Linked DNA regions of Astyanax mexicanus. The protein of the gene in region 1 purifies or fractionates together with the protein of each later gene. This does not show direct contact. Links are inferred from orthologs where the notes say so. Each region holds a gene or a part of one and is shown on either strand. Other genes may lie near its edges.

Region 1 (7,662 bases):
TATTATATAAAATTTACTGTAGGGGCCTACTAATTAACAAATGTATGACTTGTTGCAGTCTGTTAGTCTATTAATTATTCATTTTAATATGTTTAACAGAGTGCAAGAAGACTTCCATAATGTGACAACTTTAGATAGTTACTCCAAAACGGCAAAGCTCATTTCTTCTTCAACTCCATGCAGTTGAAAACGAATGGACATGGGAGGACAATGTTATAAAATGTTCACATTAGGGCTGCAGCTATTATTTTACAAAAATGGGTGACGTTTAAATTAAGAATAAAATTATAAATAATGCAAAAACAGACAGGTGCTGTAATTTAAATATAGCTTTATCTGTTTTTTTTTTTCTTCTTCAAATGAGCTCCTTAGCCAGAGAAACGCGTCTCATCAGCTGTACTGGAGGTTCGGTGCGTGAGCGGAAAATGAGTTGAGAAAGCTGAAGAGCGCGGACTTTATAGGTTCAGGATAAAATGAGCTTTTATCAGAAAAGTCTGGAGGGGGTTCTAAAGTAGAACCCGACAAAACAGAAAATTCTGCTCATCGTTTCATTTAATATCTAACAGCGCAAACCGCTTTAAACGGGTGAGTTTTACAGCAGAACAGCAGGAGGCGGCATGATTTAATGTCTGTTTGTAGTGAAGGAAAAAGAGATGTTTTATTTTAACTCCATTATTTTAGAAACTATTTGTTTTATTAATTCGTTTACAATAAAGCTTATTTATATATAAGGAGAAGTACAGTCCTCTAATAATCCTGACTAACCAGTAATTATTATTTCAGCGCAGCTGATGCTGCGAATATCCTTAAACAGTTTTAGTCCTGCCCTTTTTCATTTCGTCTAAAAATAATTTAAATACTGAAAATATCAAGTGTTAATTTGATTTTATTTACTTAGATTTTCGTTTCTGAAGAAGAGACGTCAGTTATTTTATACTAGAGCTTATAGATAGGGCTTGCCTTGCATAGTCAGGGCGCATTCCATCAACGCTAAGCATAGTTTCGTTTGGAGAGAAATGCTACAACACCGATGCAGTTGAAATTCTATTCTTTTTCAGTAAATGAAGCAACATCACAGATTACTAATCATGAGAGAAAATATAGACTTTGGGACACTGGATTGTAAAAATGGATGCCTTACCCGTTGAAAGTCTTGCTCACTCTTGAAACCTTGCGCTGCGTTCCAAGTAGCTGCCCGCAGATGTGCCGGATTAAAATCGGCGCGGCCAAATAAGAAAATCGGCTGATGCCGATTGATAAAAAAATAACAAAAATCGGCCGATTAAATCGGCTGGCCGATCGATCGGTCGGCCTCTAATACCAACGCAAAGTAGCAGCCTACTGCAAAACTATGAAGTAGAACAAAAATGATACACTGGTTTTCAAAAAATGTAATTAAATAAAAATTTGACAAGTGTGATGTGCAAAAGTATTCAGAACCCCCAAAATAAAATCAAATGCAATCAATTGCATTCAGAACAGTTCACAGTCTCAGTATAAATACACCTGTTCTGTAAAGGCCTCAGTGGTTTGATAGAGAACATTAGTTGTCAGATAAAACTAAATTTTAACTTTTTTATGGGGTGCTTTGATCACATCATCCCTATTGTTAAACAAAACATGAAAATTGCTGTTCACAGACTCTCCATCCAACCTGGCCGAGCTTGAGCTATTTTGCAAAAAAGAATGGGTAAAAATCTCAGTCTCTAGACGCGCAAAAGACGTGCAGCTGTAGTTGCAGTGAAAGGTGGCTCTACTAAGTATTGATATGGAGAGCTATATACTTTTGCATGTCTCAAATTTTTATTTGAATTAATTTTTTTACATTTTTGTTGGACTTTCACTTCAATCTCAATAAAATATATTTAGGTTTGTGGTTTGATAATGATAATAATTATGATATTTTGCAACATGAATTATATAAAACCACAAACTGATAATAATCTGAATAATTTTAGGTTAATTTATGTTACATACTTTGTAATGAATAATAGTCAGTGACAGATATTGTAATAAATATATAAAAAAGTTTTCTACCATCATATATAGCAATACTCAATTATTGTGCAACCATAAGAAAACATTGCTTTTTAGTGCTCTGATGATGTTAACAAAAAAACACAAGAAATTTCGCTAGCCCTTGGTAGCCTTTAGCCTCAAGCTAGCTAGGTGAGATGTTTGGTACAAACTAGCTAAGCTAGCTAGTTAATTCTCTAGCAACAAGCTAATATGCTAACCATGATAAAATATGACATGCTGTATTGTTTTAATGTTACACTTTAGAAACTGGGGGGAAGTGGGTTTGGTTTATTTTCACTTAAATATTTAAGAGAAATCTCATAACTTAGCTAAAACTATTTTAGCTTAGCTACATTTAGCCAGCCAGCTAGCTAGGTTAACTAACACTAGCTATCTTGTTAGCTATCTCTGCTGGTGTAGTGATATAAGCTAACACTACAATCGTATAATAACACTAATAATTGTATAAACACTCTTCATTTTAAATTAAAATCTAAAAATGAATAATAACATATTGCTCCTGATAACCTGTAGGTTAGCTAATAAAGGTAAATACCTGATTTGGAAAGCGTACACTTGCTGTGTCCACAGTGTAGACTGGTTCAAGCTCCTGAGCGCCATTCCTGAGCTCCATGACTCCAGACTCATCAACTCATCTCCATTAAAAATATCCTCAGTCCACTCCGGGAGTCATGAAATTACCTAGACCTATTCAGTCTTCAAAATCTGTAATCCTTTGGGGCGAACTGTGTCCTGACATGTTAGCAAACCTTACAGCCTCTGAAAAACAGAAGCGCAGCCTCAAAATCCAGCATGTTTACAGATCCAAAGGGCAGCTTAGATCAATATTCTGCCTTTCTTCTTCATCAACAGCCTGGCAGCTGCTTCCACAACCGAGCTTCGCTAATAGCGGATTTAACAGCATCAGAGCGGATTTGGAGGTACTGAGCAGCAGGTAGGTGATTTTATTTGTTTGGTCCAATGTTGAGAAAAGGTGCTGGAGGATGTGTGAGACACAAGAGTGAACACCTAGCAACACTGAGGTGTAGGACTGCACACTTAGCAGGTAGTGGTCCACAGGGACTGGATTAAAATAGCCTATTAGTCTGCCAGTGTGTTTCACACCACAAATTGGCTTATTCTGTTGTCTTAGTGGCCATAACCATGAATTACAGTTTATTTACAGTTTATTTTAATAATCGACAAAGTAATTGGGGTTTTCAGCAAACACCAAAAACAAATTACAGTAGTTTTGGCTATTTAAAAATGAGTACTTTGGTTTAAAAGGGTAGATTATCATAAAGTTCAGAAGTAGAACCAAACAGAATCATCCTCAAACAACATTTATTAAAAATATTAATTGAAAAGACAGAAAACTGCTATTTTAGCATTTTAACAGACACAAATTGAAGAGCAGTTCTAGCTAACTTGATTGACTTTGCTATTTTGTGACAAAAATGGTGACCAAAAAATAAATAAATAAATAAAACTATGCAATATATAACCTGTAGCCTTTATGGTTATATAGATTTTATTTGGATGGTACATTATCGGTGCCTCATAGATACTCAACTAACATTCAACTCAATCTAATAAATGTAACTGAATTTTTAGATGAGTGTAAATTATTCTTTGCAGAAACTAACCCAACACCAACCCAAACCCTAACCTCTACTATGACTCAATTCAAAACCCTGACCCCTAACCGTAATCTAAACTTTAAATCTAACCCTAGACATAATCCTAAAATGTTAAGACTAGAGTTAAGGTTAGGGTTAGTAGGTTTACATTCAACAGAGAATCATTTACTTTCACTTTAAACTTTAGTATTTATGAGGCATTTATAATAGACCATCCAAATAATGTTATACCACCCTTCTTAATAGTAAGTCAATTTTATATTATAGTGAAAATCTTGTAAATAAACTGTCGATTGGGGATGCGCCCTGAATCGTGGAAATGTGTTCAGTAAAGATAGCTCCATCTTGGAAAGCTAATAAAATCGTCACATTTTATTTTGACTTATGCTTAATGCACCTTCACTCCGCGCCCATGTTGAAACGAAACCGTTTCTAAACCAGAAAGGCAGCAAGGGAGCCGACAGAATGTCCACCAGTCTAAATGGCACCGCATGTGTGGACAACTAACCTCGCATACCTCCCTGAATTAACGGTGAAAAGAGTAAAAAAAATTGGCAGAAAATAAGTGCATTTTCCTGGCTATTTTACTAAAAGGCTACAACTATTATTGCGGAAGGTACCGTAGCAAGGTAATTGCCTTTGTTTGTTTTATTAAAAACTTGCGTGTTAGCTAGCTTGCTATCTAGTTACTAAATTAGTGACTAGAAAACTACTTTGTAGTTTATACAACTACAGTCCTGCTTACAGGCTTCACTGAACAATCTGTCCTGAAAAATAACATATGGGCACAGCATCCTTCTTCAACTTTCACATGCCAACCAGTGTCTTAAAGAAACACAATTTTGGAAAGTGTTTTAAACTTACATTTGTGTCCACTTTAATATGTAATATTAAATCAAACATGAAAATAACTAGTTTTGGAATTAAACCGAGAAAATAACCAGTTCAGGGGTAATCAAACAATAGCCGGAGAACCGGGTTTAGCTAGTTGCTGTCTCTCTGCTAACATTCATCTGGCTAAATTGGCTGACTGGGTAACATTAATATGGCTAGGCTTAGCTAGCTAGCTAGCTCAGTAACATACATCTTAAATTGAAATGATAATCTCTACTGATTTTGTGAATCCTTCACCGTGAAGTTCGGTATCTTTGGGGAAACTGTGGAAAGTTTGACCTTTCATAGGATTTCTTTCTTTTTGAAGAATTTGGGAACGCAGCAATGAGGCGGCATTGCTAGTACCCAGCGGTCCAACGCTACTTCCGTCCCCCACAGCCTCGTTTTGGTAGGAGATGTAGGTGAATAGAGCATATAAATGAGCTTAAATCACACTCTTGACATTCACTATTATTCTAAAAAGCAATTTTACCACAGCTGACCAGCATCATGAGGAGATGATTTAGGTCCATTAGAAAAAGGCCAGATAAAAAATCAATTTTGCAAAAAAAAAATTATTGAGAAGGGTGACAATATTTTATTCAAGCACTGATTGCATAAACAAACTTATAATCATTCTTATTAGTTTGAGTTTGAGTCTCAGTCTATTGGTTGAGAACTGCAAATGCACACAGACAGGATTTAGTACAGAAATTCTCTTGTTCTATAACAGTCTTTCTCTCCCTCTCTCTAGCTCTCTCTCTCTCTCTTGCTCTTTGTTTGCTTGCCTTGTTTCTTTTCTAAGTTTTTTCACTGTTTGACTTAATGTTTGACTTAGCTCTTGCTATTCCCTTACTTTTTTTTCTCACTCTCACTTCTGTGTTTTGTTTCACACTCCCACTTTTTCTCTCCCAGTAGCAGACTCACAATTTAAAGGGCAGAGGCAAACAAAAAATTGTTTATAACAGTACTGTTTTCCATTGGTAGGGCTAAAGGGCAGGCACCCTTTGATGGGCACATATTAATATTCATCATTTGTTGCGAAAGAGCACACTGTGTCTGCCCAAAATGCCTATCCAACAAGGCCAATAGGGCACTTTGACTCTTTTTCCCACTCTAGAGGGCACTATGGTGATGCGTTTTCAATCATGAGGGCACTGAACATCATTCTTTGTTTCATCTTTTTACTCTGTTTCTCTCTCTTATGCTGTTTCTCTTACACACATGTTTCACTTTTTCACTCTGCTTTTCACTCTGTTTTGGTTCTCTATCAGTATTTTACATGAAATCTCACATGGGTCCCTTCTAGGCCTCTCTAGGTCCCATCACTGACCCTGATAATGCACATCACTGACACATATTTGTAGAACATGTAAACAATTTTTTTGGTTCTCAATTGTGCAACACACAGATAGATTTTTTGGTACCCCATACAGGCCCCACATTGGCATACAACCCCTGGCAAAAAGTATGGAATCACCAGTCTTGGATGAGCACTCCTTCAGACATTTCATTCTGTAAAACAAACTCTGATCAAAAACATGATACAATAATAAGGTCATTCCAAAGTGCAACTTGTTGGCTTTCAGGAACACTCAAAGAAATGAAGAAAAAACATTGTGGAAGTCAGTGAATGTTACTTTTATTGACCAACCACAGGGAAAAAAATATGGAATCACTCAATTCTGAGGAAAAAAGTATGGAATCACTCAAATTGAAGGTAGAAAATAAGGACACACCCAGTCAATTTCCTTTCCCTAAATGGACACCTGCCTCAGATTAGATCTGCTCGTTAGTCTGCAGTTAAAAACACCTGCAGTCATGACACCTTGGAGGGCTGCTGGACGAATTAGAGTGGCAAGAACCATGGCTCCAACAAGAGAAATGTCTCTTGAAACAAAAGAGAGGATTGTGAAACTTCTTGAAGAAGGCAACTCTTCACGCATGGTTGCTAAAGATGTGGGCTGTTCACAGTCAGCTGTATCCAAGATATGGACCAAATACAAACAGCATGGAATGGTTGTTAAAGCCAAGCGTACTGGTAGACCGAGAAAGACATCAAAGCGTCAAGACAAGCAACTTAAGGCCATTTGTCTTGAAAACCGAAAAAGTACAACTAAACAGATGAAGCATAAATGGGAAGAAGCTGGAGCCAATGTATGTGACCGAACCGTAAGAAATCGCCTAAAGGAAATGGGATTTCAATACAGGAAAGCTAAAAGAAAACCATCATTGACACCTAAACATAAAAGAACAAGACTGCAGTGGGCTAAGGAGAGGCAATCATGGACTGTGGATGACTGGATGAAAGTTATCTTCAGTGATGAGTCAAGAATCTGCATTGGACAAGGTGATGATGCTGGAACTTTTGTTTGGTGCCGTTCCAGTGAGATTTATGAAGAGGCCTGCCTGAAGAAAACAACCAAATTTCCACAGTCCTTGATGATATGGGGCTGCATGTCAGGCAAAGGCACTGGGGAGATGACTGTGGTTAATTCTTCTATCAATGCACAAGTTTACATTGACATTTTGGACAGTTTTCTCATCCCTTCAATTGAACAGATGTTTGGAGATAATGAAATAATTTTCCAAGATGACAATGCATCGTGCCATAGGGCAAAAACAGTGAAGGCATTCCTTGGAGAAAGACACATTCAGTCGATGTCATGGCCTGCAAATAGTCCAGATCTCAACCCAATTGAAAACCTGTGGTGGAAATTGAAAAAAATGGTCCACAAGAAGGCTCCGACCTGCAAAGCTGATCTGGCAACTGCTATCAAAGAGAGTTGGCACCAAATTGATGCAGAATACTGTTTGTCACTCATCAAGTCCATGCCTCAGAGACTGAAAGCCGTTATAAAAGCCAAAGGTGGTGCAACTAAATACTGGTGATGTATTTTGAATCATCTTTTGTTTATCTGTTTTTCATGATTCCATACTTTTTTCCTCAGAATTGAGTGATTCCATATTTTTTTCCCTGTGGTTGGTCAATAAAAGTAACATTCACTGACTTCCATAATGTTTTTCTTCATTTCTTTGAGTGTTCCTGAAAGCCAACAAGTTGCACTTTGGAATGACCTTATTATTGTATCATGTTTTTGATCAGAGTTTGTTTTACAGAATGAAATGT
Region 2 (8,201 bases), on another chromosome or scaffold:
TGTAGGTAGAGCTGGCAATATGGCAAAATATTATGTTACAATATTTAAAGATAATTTTATGGTACACGATATTTATCGTGTTTTGACATGCAGAAAACACTGAAATTTACCAGCAGTGACAGATTCTTAAAAACATATATTCAAATAATCTTTCATGCATAGTACAGTGATTTATTTCATTTTTGCTGCATGTTAAAAAATTAAACAAGATATTTTACACTATCTGTAGTAAAATGTACAGTTGTGCCAGTGTTCTTTATATGATATTCTTTATATTATATCCTTGATATGCTTACTGTTGAAACGGATCGTAGAAATTTATAAAAATATATATATTTTTAATAATATTAATAATATTATTACATACCACCTTCGCCCTATCTGACCTATTAATAATCTATCATACTGAAATCAGCCACAGGGAATGAAAGGATTTAGCTAGACTGGGATAAACATTGAGGCTACCTGCTGTCCAGTAGTGTTAGAGAGCACATGGTCAGGCTGCGTGGCTCCAGAAGAAGTTGTTAGGTCCTCGTGGTCTGGGAGGCCGGGACGAGTGCAATATTGGTGGGAGAATGGACAACAGTGCACCGCACCCCGTGCCTGCCAGGCCCCGGGACACACAGAGCACATGGGGCACATGAGGCAGTAACTGGGCACATGGGCAGATAGATGTGCAGTGTCCATCTGGAAGAAAAGAATCAGAACAATTAGAGTGGATAAAAAAAATATGTATTTATTTACTTACACTTAAAAAGTATCAAAACATTATTAAAGTGTTTTATGTACAGAATAATTTATCATTATTATTTTTATTTAACTGTGATGGATTAAGGCCTGCTTTTTAAGATTTTTTTTGGAGGGAACGCATGGTGGGCGGGGCATGGAAGTGGCCACGCCCCAGATAAAAAAAAAAAACATTTAAATATATAATTCTAAATCATTTTTAAATGTAGATGTGGAATAAAGACGTACATATAATCTTACTATAAAATAGACAAATTCGTTAGAATAAATAATAAAAATAAACAATATAATTCTATTAAAATTAGCTAGCGTTAGCGCGTACAGCACGTATTTCGGCGTGCCAACGTGCAGCGCAGTGTTTCCCGGACAACAGGTTGCCTAGAAACGTCGTAGCTGGCGAAGAGCCCGACCAAGCATTAGCATGGAAAAGTTAACTAGCCAACTTTCCCCCAAACAGGCTAAGCTAACGGCTTCTATACCTAACCAGCGCTCAGTTATACACCCACAACAACGCCGAATGTCTCAGACTCGAGCTAAAGCTAAAGAAAAACACAAAACAACGCTGAGACTCACCGACCAAAACACGCCAACACACGGAGAGGGAGAGGAACTGGCCACGGAGCTCCTGCTGCTGCTGCTGACCACCGCGCTCCTCCCTCAACTTCACAACTCAAACTGCTCCACACCAAACACAACGACACACGGCTAATAACCGCGTGTTTCTCAGCGCACAGCCGCTTCCACCTCCGCCATAGTCCGCTTGCACGCTTTTGGCACGCCTGCAACAACGAGGTTTCGGTTCTTGCCTTTCTTTCCCCCAAATCTCCCCGCACAATAGGAGTCCCGTCCCGCAGAGCCCCGCCCCCATCAGCGCAGTCAACAAAGAGTGCTCAGTGGAGCAGAGAGAGAGGAAGAGAGAGAGAGAGAGAGAGAAAGAGAGAGAAGTTGGGAGATAGAGAGGGGGACAGAAGTAGGGAGAGAGAGATGAAAAGAGAGAGGGTGAGGGAGAGAAAGGGAGGGTAGGGAGAGATGAAGAGAGAGAGGGTGAGGGAGACAGAAATAGGGAGAGAGGACAAGGGAGGGAGAGGGTGAGATAGGGAGGGAGAGGGTGAGGTAGGGAGGGAGAGGGTGAGGTAGGGAGGGAGAGGGTGAGGTAGGGAGGGAGAGAGAGAGAGCTGTAGAAGAGGAGGGGTGAACGGGAAAAAATAGCTATAATGTAGTGTACCAACAAAATAATTCATGAAGTGTGTCAAATAGTAGCACATCAGTGCTGAGTTCACATGGTTTTACTAATTGATGGATGGATGGATGGATGGATAGATGGAGTAGTGGGATCAAGTGAGTGAGTGGGTGGGGTGTATGTATGGATGGAGAGATAGATGGATGGTCAAATATGTCTGATTTAACACGGAGCAACAACAAATATGTCATTTGTTAATACCTATACTGATTATCTGGTTAAAGTAAACAGTGTAGTTCTTAGTTCAGTTGAAATCAGACTGCGGTTCAGTTTCAGTCTTGGTGTGATTCATTTGGACACCTTAATCTGACTCAAAGGTATACTAAAACAACTGCACCAAGACCACTGAGAGAAGATGGGGTCCATCAGATCTCAAACAAACTCAGGAGCAGTTTATACAATACCAGTCAAAAGTTTGGACACACCCCTTCTAATTAAATGATTTTCTTTCTTTATTTTCTACATTGCATTTCATATATACATATATAAAGTATTGAAGATAATTAAACTCTGAAGGAATACAATATGGTAGTATGTAGTAAACATAACATGGAATGGTCCTCTGACGTAAAGACGTTCTCAGAGATGCTGTGTACTTGTTGATTTTTTTTCCCTTCACACTGCATTCCAACTTCATCTAGATTTTGAACTAGGTTTAGGTTTAGGTGATTGTAGAGGCCATAAACCTTTTTTTTGTCTATCACATAATTCCATATGTGTTTCTTCATAGTTTTGATGTCTTTAGTAATAAACTACAGTGTAGAAAATAGAAAATTGATTAAAAAAAAACATTAAATGATAAGGTGTGTCCAAACGTGACTTGTATTATGGATGTATGGATGTATGGATGATATGCATGTTAATGTATTTTTGGATTATCAATGAAACTGAGCTAAAATAATATACAATATATTGACAAACCTCCATTTATAAAAAAAAAACAACACTAAAAAAGATTTTACTGTTATTTACAAATTTATATATTTAAAATAACTGATTTTTTTTGTTAATAACTGTTAAAATTCCATGTGTCCTGGATTGCCCATTTCATGTCTGTTTATATCTTGACCCAAATGAGTCCCACTCTCTTCCACCTGTGTACCACAGCAGCCTTAGGAACAAACTACGGAGGTTAGGGTTGGGTGCTGGTGTAGGTTTCTTAGGTTATGTTTAGGAGTAGGTTATGGATGTTAAATTTAGATTTAAATGGAAATCACAGAAATTAGGATTAATGTAGCTGTAAATTAAAGAGCTGTAGTTTGGTGTTAGATGTAGGTTACTGAGGTTTTAGTTTCAGGTTAGTGTTATAAGCATTTTTTATGAGCAGTTGTAGGGTAAAGGTTCAGTTGGAGTTATGCTATAGTTATATAGATTAGGCTAAGTTAGATTTAAATAAGGATAGGGTCGATTTAGCATTACTTTGTTACAACAATACAACAATAATAGGTGGTTCTCAGTAAAACAGACATTTGTGTAGGTGGAGGGCATTTGAGCTGTGTATGTGATGTAATTATCACTAACAGTAAGAGGCACTTTAAATCACTTTTTGCTAGATCTGATATTAGAATGTTCATGATAATGCAGTAAACACACTACAGGGCTGGATTTGTTCTGGTAAATAACTTTGGAGAGTCTGTGAATATTAAACAGATTTTCATGGATGTATGAATGTTAACTGTACTGCACAATACGTTCAGTTCAAAACACAAAGGTCATTATCAGAATACAGGGTCTCAAAACCTAAAAACAATGATTTAACTACTTACAATTATATACATATATTTATATTAAGGCTTTAGACTACACAAAAATATTTTTTCCACAGCTTAATCTCTTTTTATATTTATTTATATTTTAATTCTTGGCCTGGTTCTGTTTTAAAGATATGTTTTAATTTTCTAAAACAATTTTAATTACCATGATTTTACTACAATAAAATAAACAGCTAAAGCTTTATCTCAGCAAAGAGGTATAGAGACAATGTGATATAATATTAATATTATCAGTTGCTAAACATTATTCATGCATTCAGTCCCTTAAAAAAGAAACATTAAATTTATGAAAAACAATAGAACATTCCACTGGTTATTTTAATTACTTAATATTGCATATTAATATAATATTAATGATCTCAAAATAATGACTTAATATTGCAAAAGAAAGACCTGTTATCACAAATAAATGTTAGTATTTCAAAATAATGATTTTACATCTCAAGACATAATATCTGAAATTAATAACAATATCTCAGAATAAAGTCTTGCAAGATAACTATATAGCATTTAAAAATATTGCAAAAGAAAGACCTGGTATCACAAATGAATATTAGTATTTCAAAATAAAGATGATCATGAAAATAGCAACTTAGTATCTCAAAATAGTTAGATCACAAATAGCAGCTTTTATATCTGAAAATAATTAGATTGCATCTCAAAATAACAACTTAGTATCTCAAAATAATGACGTAATATTGCAAAAGAAAGACGTGCTATCACAAATGAATGTTAGATATACCATCAAAATAGCAACTTAGTATCTCAAAATAGCTAGATCACATCTCAAAATAACGACTCTCAAAGTAATGAGATAACATCTCAAAATGAATTAGTATTTCAAAATAAAGATAAAGCATCTCAAAATAGCAACTTAATATCTCAAAACAGATCACATCTCAAAATAACGACTTTGTATCTCAAAGTAATGAGATAAAATAAAGATATACTGTAGCATCTCAAAATAGCAACTAAGTATCTCCAAATAATTTGATTGCATCTTAAAATAATGACTTTGTATCTCAAAATAATGATTTAGTATCTCAAAATAATGAGATAGTATCTCAAAAGAGAAAAAAACTAATGGTGCTGGATTTGTTTTAATTAGTGGAAATGGGTTTCTATAGGTAAACACACACTTCTCACACTAAACTGAGACTTTTCTCAAGTGTAGGAAAACAGACACACGTGCTGCACAGACTGAGAATGGTAGCCTCGCTGCTGCTGCTGCGCGTGGAGCAGTCAGGTGAGTCTGAATACCTGTTTTATTCACCGAATCACTGCTTTAAGATAATACAGGTCATTAACAAACACTCAGCCCCCCTGTGAGTCGGGAGGGGGTCTGCAACAGCTCGAGCTGCTGCTGCTGCTCTGGTTAAAATAGCCCTCGCGAGCCCTGCTCTGCTCTGCTAGCTGTTCCTCTGCGCGCAGCTGTCGCGCGCGTGGCAGGTGCGCACTGCGCGTGAGGAAACCTCACACATACACACATACTTACAAACACTCATTCCCACACACACACTAACTCACACAGATACACACACACACTAGCACTGCTCTACTTACTCTCTCTCTCACACACACACACACACACACACACACATATACACACTCAGTTTGCATGCGTACAGGTGAAGAGCAGAACCAGTGCGTTGGTGGATATGAAGGGTTCCAAACTGGTGTAACGGAGCGAACAGTTCACCATTACCAGAGGTAAGTTCTGAACTGCTGATACTGGTGTAGTCAGTCTTCCATACTGGCGCGTGACTGCTGGAAACTGGGGCTTGTTTGGACCAGGTGCACTCTTAAAAATAAAAGTTCGACAAATGTCTATTTAGATTTTATATAGAAGACGCATAATTGCTTATATAAAGAAAAAAACATGTTTAAAATATGTTACAGACATTTGGATGTCTAAAAAACCTGTCTATCATAAATATTCCACACCATAAATGGCAGAAATGAGACTTTTAATATAGTTATTTAAAATTTGTAGGTGTAGTCATAAAAATAAAAATAAAAATAAAAATAAAAATCTATATTTTAAATATATACACAGCTCAGGCATAACATTTTGACCTCTTCCTTGTTTCTACACCTATAATTAATTTGTTCAACTCTTTGTAGTTCTATAAGAGTGTAAATTGTAGTTCTTATATTTCTACTTTCTACTTAATTGTCCTCCTTTTCATCCAGATCTTCAAATGGTCAGGACCACACAGAACCACCACAGACCAGCTATTTTTTGGGTGGTGGATCATTCTCAGCACTGACCTGGTAAAAGTGGGTTGTTCTGACATGAGTGGATCAGATACAGCAGTGCTGCTAAAGTTTTTAAACACCTCAGTGTCACTTCTGGACTGGGATAAGAATGAAGAACCTTTAGTAAAGAACATTTAAATCAATTAAAGATTCTTTAGAAATTTAAATAGAACAACAATGTCTGTAACAGTGATGTGTAAGTGTAAAGAACCTGTGTGTTTGGAAATAACTTTTACATCAAGCAAAAACCATTCATATTAGTTAACATTGGTAAAACATATCCTCTACATGAAGAGAAGGGTCTTTAGACCTTTAAAATGTTCCTTACACACACACACAGATCTACTACAGGTGTTTAATGGAGATGACAAATATCTCTGTGTCTGTTAGGACAGTGTGTATTTCTGTGCACTAATCTAAGATCAGACCTCATCTGCCAATGCTGTGATGTTGTGTGTTGTTTATAAAATTCAGCCTGAGCCAAGAACAGTATTTTTTATTGTATGAAGTTTGTATAAAAAGTGGTGTATAAAACAGGCCCAAAACCCTTAACATACCTTAAATGCGATGATAAAAAAATAGTAGACATACTCCCCTCATTTGAGATGACAGTGAGCTAGCTGTGGGCCCTAGTGGAACTGTGTTGATTTCTAATGTTAAGAAACCATTTATTTTCATCACATTATAATTTTAGCTTCAGCTGGATATCCATTATGGCATGCAAATATATACAGCAGGGGAGCTTCCAGATGTGCGTGTATGTGTGTTTTAACTTTGTAGGACAACCAGAGACAAAGAGGACCATACTATATCAGCACCAGCAAATTTAACTTAATTTTGGGATGTGCTGTTTACATAAAAAAGGTTTTATTTGTACATTTTAAAACAATTTATTTTTGTTTGATTTTAAAGATTGGGTGTAGGCATAAACAACAATATATACATTTCATATGGTGCCTGTAATAAACACAATATGTCAATTTTTTTGTGGGCATCCCTTCTAATGAATGCATTCTGCTATTTTAAGTTCCTCCCACTGTTGACACAGGTGGGCAAATGCTTACACATAACTTGCCTAGTAGATTGTAGAGTACCACAAATAGAATGGGACTCTCTGGAGCAGATGAACATAAACTTAATATTGGGTCTAGAGCAATTGTTATTGTTTGCAAAGAGCAATTGGGGCTACAACCTCAATTGTAGTCCTGCACAGACTCTGCCCTGCAAATTATTGTGGTTTCTCTGCTTTAACATGCCCACCGCCATTCTGAAAGCTTTTGTTCATTAACTTATTAGTTAGTTCAGGAGTGTTGGAAGAAGGGAAAGCAATAAAAGTCCAGGGCAGGGTGCCTGTGTTGAGAAACCCTGGGCTAATGGGGTATAAATCCCACTGACATTGAGATGTGGAACTGTGGATCTGTGTTCTCTGGAATGATGGAGCTCCATCCAATACTTTTGGGATGAGTTAGGGAGTTGTGGATGAGGAAGGGTGGTGATTATCCAACATCCTGGTCTACCTAACACTTTTTTGCCTAATGCAATCAAATTCGTACAGCAGTACTCTAGTACAATTGAGTAAAAAACCTTCTTAGACAATAGAGACAGTTACTCAAACAAAAGCAGTATAAACTATTGTATACGCTCACAATGAATATGCAGGGGGTTCAATACTTGTGTCAATAAACTATGTATCGTCACTGACACAAAACACAGGAGAAGAAAAACTTAAAAACAAAACTTACTTATCATAAGTAATTCTGGAGCTTTTCTATTTGTCCATTCATTGTGCAATTTGAAAACAATGTAAAGAACATCTGCTAGATTCACATTATGTTAAAAAATGTAAATGTGTGTGTTTCTGCTATATATGCTACATATGTTAAAATTTAGTTAGTTCTAATGGTTTCCGGAAGGGGTTAATTACAGTAATGTGTGAGTGCATGTGTGTGTGTGTGTGTGTACACCTGTGAATCAGACACTGCTGTGACTAGTAGGGGGAGAAACCCAGTGTTTGTCTGAGAGCATCTATTGTTTACTTTGTTGTTTCAACATCTCAGTGTCGTCTCTGTGTTCTGAAGCTAGCGGTGCTCCTCCCACAATGCTTAGAGTATCTACAGCTATTTTGTGAAAGTACATGCTCCAAAATACACAGCTAAAACATTCTCCACACACACACATCCTAA

The links.
Region 2: the proteins of transmembrane protease serine 6 (region 1) and hjv purify together in Homo sapiens (co-immunoprecipitation; 3 studies listed by IntAct). This does not show direct contact. The link is inferred for Astyanax mexicanus from reciprocal best matches to the Homo sapiens genes TMPRSS6 and HJV.

What each region holds. Positions count from the first base shown.
Region 1 is NC_064412.1:32,159,507-32,167,168, reverse strand, and holds the start of transmembrane protease serine 6, read right to left. Parts: upstream 3,064-7,662; 5' UTR 2,654-3,063; coding exon 2,576-2,653; intron 1-2,575. UniProt on the Homo sapiens protein: Membrane-bound serine protease. Through the cleavage of cell surface hemojuvelin (HJV), a regulator of the expression of the iron absorption-regulating hormone hepicidin/HAMP, plays a role in iron homeostasis.
Region 2 is NC_064413.1:41,789,697-41,797,897, forward strand, and holds the start of hjv (hemojuvelin), read left to right. Parts: upstream 1-5,154; 5' UTR 5,155-5,377; coding exon 5,378-5,469; intron 5,470-8,201. UniProt on the Homo sapiens protein: Acts as a bone morphogenetic protein (BMP) coreceptor. Through enhancement of BMP signaling regulates hepcidin (HAMP) expression and regulates iron homeostasis.